Linked DNA regions of Arabidopsis thaliana. The protein of the gene in region 1 purifies or fractionates together with the protein of each later gene. This does not show direct contact. Each region holds a gene or a part of one and is shown on either strand. Other genes may lie near its edges. The genes, in order: MYB29 and NIG1.

Evidence for each region.
Region 2: the proteins of MYB29 (region 1) and NIG1 purify together in Arabidopsis thaliana (affinity purification with a luminescence readout, with the first as the bait; one study listed by BioGRID). This does not show direct contact.

The regions. Positions count from the first base shown.
Region 1 is NC_003076.8:2,444,651-2,449,308, reverse strand, and holds MYB29 (myb domain protein 29), read right to left. Parts: upstream 2,641-4,658; 5' UTR 2,220-2,640; coding exon 2,087-2,219; intron 1,991-2,086; coding exon 1,861-1,990; intron 1,772-1,860; coding exon 1,024-1,771; 3' UTR 725-1,023; downstream 1-724. UniProt on the Arabidopsis thaliana protein: Plays a minor rheostat role in aliphatic glucosinolates (GLSs) biosynthesis, mostly short chained. Together with MYB28/HAG1 and MYB76/HAG2, promotes aliphatic glucosinolate biosynthesis but represses indolic glucosinolate biosynthesis.
Region 2 is NC_003076.8:19,000,769-19,004,927, forward strand, and holds NIG1 (calcium-binding transcription factor NIG1), read left to right. Parts: upstream 1-1,795; 5' UTR 1,796-1,950; coding exon 1,951-3,486; 3' UTR 3,487-3,616; downstream 3,617-4,159. Other genes in the region: AT5G46825 (uncharacterized protein), read left to right, coding at 1,277-1,293, 1,358-1,411, 1,446-1,515, 1,651-1,731.

The DNA.
Region 1 (4,658 bases):
ACACACAAGATTGTGTGCAAAAATCTGTGGTTTTTTTCTTTTCACATCCACTTCTCTCTTTAAGCTTTTTAATGCAACAACTATATCTTTAGTCCCTATATGCATATCATTTCCTAATTTCCGGCTGATAGCTTAATTCGATTCAAGATTTATAAATCTTGAGAATCTTGGCTTAAACACCTTCAGCTGCCCACCTCACAAACTGTCTAGAAAAGAAAATAATTTGGCCTCTAAATTGGTAGCAGATTTTGTACGACATATTATACAAACAGAAGTTGCTTCAAAATTATCTTGTTAATCTTCATCAGTTGGATCAAGTATCATTTCTCTATCTTATTTCATGTTTTTAAATGAAAACCTTACGGAGCATTTGAAGCTAAGGCTTGCACATGTTTAAGGTAGAGAGACTTCAGAACTCTCTGTTTTTCCCATGGAAATTTTGTCTCATAGAGACTGCATCGGATTTTGCCTCTTAACAAAAACACATTGGATCTCATAATTGTTCATCGATCCCTTGATAACTCACTTAAGCTATTTTTTTGTTGGTTAATGGTTACTACTTCTAATATATCCATGAAACTTATCCACAAAAAAGCTTATCGACTTTCTCAGTAGTCAGTAGGGATTTGTTTCTTCGGAGTTTCATATCACCAAAAACCTAAAATGTGTTACATATTTTTCATTGTTTTTGGTAACATGGCTCAGACTGTCAGACAAACTAAGGCTCAAACTTTAAATCAAATGGTTTTAGTACAGTGAACGCTTGCAATCAAATGGGTGTTTTATTTATTATTTATAGTACGTAAATCCACAAACAACAATAGAAGGAAAAAAAACTCGTGTCTCCCGCAAATCAAATACTAATTGATCCACGGCATCACAAGGTTCTCTAACTAAGAGAATCCATTACTGAATATTAATATATAGTGACCCTATAGTGGACCTTTACTATAACTTGACAAATATCTAAGAGAACCATATGACATTAACCGGTCAACTCTAGTCCGGTAAGCAATCAACGGATCATATGAAGTTCTTGTCGTCGTAATCTTGGCTCGTGTCATAATTGAAATCGGAATGGTCAAGGAGATAATTTGACCAACCAGTTATGTTTTGCATCATCTCGTCTTCATCAACGCTTGTTGATGAGACATCAGACATAAGAAGATCTTGGTTATATCCTCCTCCAGTATTGTCAGCTTCTTCCCCTTCGTTGTTACTAAACTGCTCGAGAAACTGCGAGAAATCGTATTCGGAATTGTTGATGCTGATATCTTCTTTCATATGATCAATTATGTGTTCAGATGACTGATAGAATGGATCAAATTCTTCCATCTGAAATTGACTTGTTTCAGAAAAGTCATCATTTAGACATGAAGACAACGGTGTAGAGCTGATCAAGGTTCCTTCGATGGAGGCGCCTAGTATAGTTCCCATGGAAGAAGCCCTAGCTGCAACTTTGTTTAACAGTTTTGATGTAGAACTCGATCTCTTAAAACAACGTTTCTTGGAGCTCAAGGAAGCATCATATTTCGGTGTCTCGTCACTGCTGGTTATCTCCGGTACATTTTTGGAGCTTGAAGGAGGAAGAGACTTTGGAGAGATGGAACCCGATTGCGATTGCTCATCCGGGTTTGAGTCATAGGCAAGTGGCTTGTGGGTCACGGGATCGATTCCCTTATCGATCAGGAGCTTTTTGAGATGCGTGTTCCAGTAGTTCTTAATCTCGTTATCTGTTCTTTTGGGCAAATGTCTCGCTATGACTGACCACCTTTTAAGTAAAACATATATATAAACTTTAATAATGTGTTAATTATATATACCCTTATTTATATGGATTTCGGCAAGCTAGGATTTTACTTGTTGCCGCGAGAAGCGTGTAGCATGATGATAATCTGTTCCTCCTCATAGCTAAACTCTCCTCTCTTGATGTCAGGTTTCAAATAGTTAGCCCATCGCAATCTACAACTCTTTCCACATCGTTTTAGTCCTAAACACCATCATTTGTCATAAAAACAACAATTATAGTTATATATATGTAAAAAGTGTTTTAAAATATATACATAATAATAAAGCACATATATACCAGCTTTTTGGGGAATGTCACGCCAGCCTCCTTCACCGTGTTCATGAATGTAAGAGATGAGTTTCTTGTCTTCTTCGGCAGTCCATGCTCCTTTCTTCAGTCCTTCTCCCACACAACATGGCTTTCTTGACATCTTGTTTTTCTTCTTTTTTTGATATAGATTTACATACAACCTATAGGTAAGAAATAAGAAAAAGAAAAAATAAGAAAAGAAAAAAAAAACAGAATGTCGTCGAGTTTAAGGCAATAGACTGATAGATCTCTTGATGAGAACTCTGATGCATCTGAATATGAAACTGACTGAGAAACTGTGGTAGACGACCGTTGTAGGATTTTGTGTTTTCATATTAAACATTTAAAAGAAAGACTAGGAGAAGATATATCAAAGTTTCAAGACATTGCAAGCTACTACTCCTCCATGCATAATTATATATGTTTATGCATATATATAAGCCTGGCACTCGTGTAGAATGTACTTTTTGAAATAACTTAAATAAGTAATAAGCTTTTTTTAAATAAGAATATCAACTCATCATCAAGAGTACTTTGACCCCCCAAAAAAAAAAAAAAAAAACTCATCAAGAGTGAGTGTTAGTGACAAGATGTTTTTGGAACTATTCAAATGGTTTGAGAGAGACTTATGGAATATTTTCTGCCACTAGATAAATAATCAACATCACAAATACAGTGCCGACCCAAAGAGAAATATCATAAATACATGACAACTTCATAAGTTACCATATATTTTTATTAGAGTTGATTTGATAAAGGGCAATGGGAAAAAATATAATTAGAAAAGAACAACTTCATAAGCTCGAGTACGTATCGACAGAATGTGGGACAAAATTCTGTGCTTTATTTTTTCTATATATAGATTTATAACATATATTTATATGATATTTTCTTAAATAGATATATCTATATTTAACATATTAATAATAATATAGAACTTAAAATAATAGATTATACAAGTATATATGATGAATAGTTGATCAGCTAGATGTCAACGTAGAACTGCAATTTTTTTTTTCTTTTTTTTTGTAAAATAGAACTGCATTTTAAAATAAACTATGTTCCCTTAAATAATTAAATGACATAATAAAAACCGTCAAAAATATTCAATTGATACGTATATTAACAAATTACGAAAATAAACTAAAATTATACGTTGTGAAATAATTGAATGATAAGAATAAAACTGTCTGAAACATGCTTTTTGATCTAGTGAATAAAATAGATTAAAAGTTTTTTTTTTTTTTCGTCAACTAAAAGTTATTTCATCTATTCATTATTATTGTATTTATTGTCATCTAATGCAAATAATTTTCTCTCAGTACATTTTATATCACGTGTGTTCTTTTTCAACATCGGTCCTATTTGTTTGCCACTTTGGGTGTAACACTAACGCTGAATTCAAAATTTAAATAAAGTTATTTTGCTCAATTATTAATGTTCGTTTTTTCTCATCTAATCACATTTCACATCTCGCATCTCAAGTAGTTTCTTTTATTTTAGTTACGCCTCTTCGGAACATGCAGAGTTAACTCAAAACCAAACATCCACACTCAAAATGAAACCCCAAAGATAGCTGCATAAGTTGTAAGAAAAATATCTACAGACAAAATGAACGTAACATTATTTGTTTTATTTGTAACCAATACAGATTCAAACCACTTTAACAACAACAACAAAAAAAAAAAAAAAATTCAAGCCAAAACTCAAAATAAAACACAACATAAATTTATAATCTGTAAAATGTACTATATGTTTTTATTATTTAAGACATTAATAGTGATCGAAAGAAAAGAAAATACATCAATTTCGTATATATTATTAAAATTTGTTCTATTAATCCACATGGAAAATCTTTTGTCGAGTCAATCAACCCATTCAGCCAGACTTGTAAACAGTTCTACTTTTACTTTTTTTTGTTAGGGTTTTACGTTTTTGAATAGTGAGAAGAAAACTTCAATAAAAACAAACAAAATGTTTAAAAATGCCTTGATAAAAAATGGTACGTGTTAATTATAATTACCCACAAGGCCACAACCATCAAAGTGATTTATCATTGATTTTAAATTAATGAATTAATTATTAGATACAAAATCAGTTACTATCTTTCTAGTTACCCTCACTCTAGCTCTCTCGAATTATTCTGTCTCTCTCGTTTATGAATTTTGTTCTAGTTAATCGAAATTTGACGAACAAACTGTTTAAATATTTTCTCATCGAAAACGTAAAGTATGACCATGTGGCGAAAACATTGTTATTTGTGGCCCTACCGAATCGATCACTGATCAAAGTTTGTGGTCTTTCAAACCATTTTCTATATTACCAACCACATGTATTTAAAACTATTGCTATGCATGGCAGCATGGGCCAAACCCAAACGTCGTATATATTGCGATGCTACCAAAGTTCCAATTCATAATTTGGGAAACAACGCAATCGTTGAAAATGGTAAAATTATGTGGCGTACGTAGAATCTCCTTCATTCACCAGCTCCAACCATCAAACATGGCCGACGCCCTCCGGGTTTGGTTCCACTCGAGAGCCTAACAAAGGCTCTGTT
Region 2 (4,159 bases), about 17 Mb from region 1:
TTTGTTGTTACATTAATCACTTTAAGTTCAAAATTATGCAACTCTTTTGTCAAATGTCAATATCTAGCATTCACGGCTCCGTCAATAGATTGCGTCATTATTTAAATTTTACAAAATAACTCCATTAAAAAATATAGAAACACAGAATCAATGTTAAGCTTCACCATTACACATAAAAACTAAAATGTCTATTTAAAATCATCATGATGGGGTGCGAGATTAAAGGATTGCATTGCTAACTTTGCCTCTTTACGTTACTTTGGTTAAACCCAATTGTTAAAAGGGAGAAATCGAACATTGGTTATTTGACTTTTGAGTATATTAGTATCAAAATGTATAGGTAATAATGAAAAAAATGAGGAAGTGCAGTGCAACAAAGTCCATTGACATTGTTTTGTTAACCTGATCCATATAGAATTAAAGAGTGATAACAAAAGAAAAAAGAAGAAGAAGAAGAAAGAGTGATAATTTTTTTTTTTTTTTTTTTTTTTTGAAAGAGTGATAACATATATGGGTGAACTAGGTGTATAGCCATAATTGAACAAAAATTAAGAATATAGCCATATAATTTACGTAATTCAGCAAGTAACCAAAAACTCTAACTAATTACAAGTCTATCCCTGCATTATTTCCCTATTTTCCAATTTGCCATGACTCATCATCTTCTTCGTTTTGTTGATCAGATATTGATCTAAAGGTAATATTCCATATGTTCTAAAGGTAATGGATTGTGAATCAGATATTGATCTAAAGGTAATGTTTTTTTAACAGACCTTTTTCATTCATCATCTTCTTTGTTGCTTCTTCTCTTCTCTCCAATCCAACAAAAAATTTCCAGAAAATTTAACTTTTTTATATCAATCCATTCTAATTTAAAAACATCTATTGATTTAAGAAAACTAAACCCTAAGATACTATATATGGAACCCAAACAAAAATAATTAAACTAAATGAAATCATCTCAAGAATCAGTTTTTAGAAATCTGACAAAATCATGTTTATATACTTTTAATCTCTTTTCTCCTTTCCTAAAGCGAATTGAAATCGATTCGATTTTGGGTTTAAATTTGTGTTAGGGATTTTCAATTTTAGATATTGATCAAACCAGAAAATATTCAATAAGATCTTGTGAGTCTTCGTTTTCATTTTTTTCCGTTCTAACTAGCAAATAGAATGGTACAAAATTGAAAGTAAAATAGAAAACTATAGTTCGGTTCTGTTTTAATTAAGTTAAAGTAGAAAAAAAAGATAAGAGGCGAGAGAAGTGAAACAAGCAATGGAAGAGAGGAAGAAGTGATTAAGGTGGTGGTGGTGTGTATGGTGTAGGTCGTAGTAATATTTGTGTTGGTGGTTGCAGTGGTCGTGTGTCAATTGCGGCGGCAATAATGGTGATGGTGGTTGAGATGACAGCGTAATGGTAGTTTCTATGGTGGTGACGATTGCAGTGGTGATGGTGATGATGGTATGACATTTGTGGAAATAATGGTGGATGCGATGATGATGACGGTTGCAAGGGTAATGGTTGTAATAGCATAAAAAAGATGGTGATTGTGTAGATAAGAGTACTTTAGTATATATTATAGTTTATATACAAAATATCATCTCTGTTTTTGTTGTTGGTTAGTTTCTTAATTATAGTTTTTTTGTTAGTCAATTTTGCAAATTTCCCGACATATAATCGTGTTTCATTCAATCCATTTTGTTCAACGACGAAACAATCCCGTTACCTAGAAAAATGTGGTCCTTTTACCTGGTGATAGGTGATAGTGATACATCAGCTATCGCACATGGGTCGTTAAAATTCATGAAAAGAAAACCACAGAAAAATGTAATATTTTCATGCACTCGTGTGAAACAAAATAAAGAGTACACTCTATACTCTATAGTTTCTCGTTTAGTTTAGATATATAAATACAAAGACTTGAGACGACTTCTAATACTCCGGCAACGATGATTAATACCGACGATAACTTATTGATGATCGAAGCTCTCTTGACCTCCGATCCGTCGCCACCATTACTTCCGGCGAATCTCAGCCTCGAGACTACTCTCCCGAAGCGTTTACATGCTGTGTTGAATGGAACCCACGAGCCCTGGAGTTACGCCATTTTCTGGAAACCGTCGTACGATGACTTTTCCGGTGAAGCAGTTCTCAAATGGGGCGACGGAGTTTACACTGGTGGCAACGAGGAAAAGACACGAGGGAGGTTGAGGAGGAAGAAGACGATTCTGTCGTCTCCGGAGGAGAAAGAGCGTCGGAGTAATGTTATTCGGGAGCTTAACTTGATGATCTCCGGCGAAGCGTTTCCGGTGGTTGAAGACGACGTCAGTGATGACGATGACGTGGAAGTGACGGATATGGAGTGGTTCTTCTTGGTTTCCATGACGTGGAGTTTTGGTAACGGATCCGGGTTAGCGGGTAAGGCGTTTGCTAGCTATAACCCGGTTTTGGTTACCGGTTCGGATCTGATTTACGGGTCGGGTTGTGATCGGGCTAAACAAGGAGGGGATGTAGGGTTACAGACCATCTTGTGTATTCCTTCACATAACGGAGTGTTGGAGCTTGCATCCACGGAGGAGATCCGACCAAATTCGGATCTTTTTAATAGGATCCGGTTTCTTTTTGGAGGATCCAAATATTTTTCTGGAGCCCCGAATTCGAACTCGGAGCTTTTCCCATTTCAGTTAGAGAGCAGTTGTTCAAGTACTGTAACCGGTAACCCGAATCCTAGTCCGGTTTATCTACAGAACCGGTATAATTTGAACTTCTCGACGTCATCTTCCACATTGGCGAGAGCTCCATGCGGCGATGTACTGAGTTTTGGCGAGAATGTTAAACAGAGTTTTGAAAATCGGAACCCTAATACTTATTCTGATCAGATTCAAAACGTCGTCCCTCACGCGACGGTGATGCTGGAGAAGAAGAAGGGAAAAAAGCGCGGGAGAAAACCGGCGCATGGTAGAGACAAGCCTTTGAACCACGTGGAAGCAGAGAGGATGAGACGTGAGAAGCTAAACCACAGATTCTACGCATTACGAGCGGTTGTACCAAACGTATCGAAAATGGACAAAACGTCGTTGCTCGAAGACGCGGTTTGTTACATAAACGAGCTGAAATCAAAAGCTGAAAACGTTGAATTGGAGAAACATGCGATTGAGATTCAGTTCAATGAACTCAAGGAGATTGCAGGACAACGAAACGCAATTCCTAGCGTTTGTAAATACGAGGAAAAGGCATCAGAGATGATGAAGATCGAAGTGAAGATTATGGAAAGTGATGATGCAATGGTTAGAGTTGAATCAAGGAAGGATCATCATCCAGGAGCGAGATTGATGAATGCTTTGATGGATTTGGAGTTAGAAGTGAATCATGCGAGCATTTCTGTGATGAACGATCTTATGATACAACAAGCGAACGTGAAGATGGGGTTGAGAATCTACAAGCAGGAAGAGCTTAGGGATTTGTTGATGTCGAAAATTAGCTGAGAGTTTCTGCGGTGTGTTTTGAGAAAATTAATCATGGGGTCAAAGTGTAATTAAGTTTTGTTGATTTTCTCATAAGTTAATGGCCGTTTTATTAGATTTTGGATAATATACAGTTCTAATCTTGTGACCCAAAATTAGGGGGACTTATTGCAAATGGTCAACCCTGGAATGAACGAGATGAACACAAACACAAATGGTGCTTGAATTCTTTTTTTTTTTGTTTCCTCTTGTTTGTTCATCTTACTAACATGAAAAAGATGAATATTTATATTTTGCACTTTCAGCCCAAATGGTAAAAATTTGGGTTGAATATATTTTTGAGAAAAATCCAAAAAAAGATTATTGCACGTTTAATATCCAAACTTTTTTGGTTGGAAGGAAAATATACATAGTTTAATTAAAACATATAATTTAATTTCTACAATTTTACTCAAGATCTAATAACAAAAGCAAAATTCTAGTTTTACTCTTACCATCTCAATTAATTTATAATTGACATGGTATATTTGATTTGAATAAAAATTATTTTTTGTTGATAGGTTGTTTTTATTAAAATTATTTTATTTTGACTACCAAAATAAAAATTAGAAGAAAATCTTTTTAAAAAAATCTTCAACTTTCCTTTTTTAAAACACACCCTTTAATAGATAAAATTAGGGTTTTTGGAATGAAA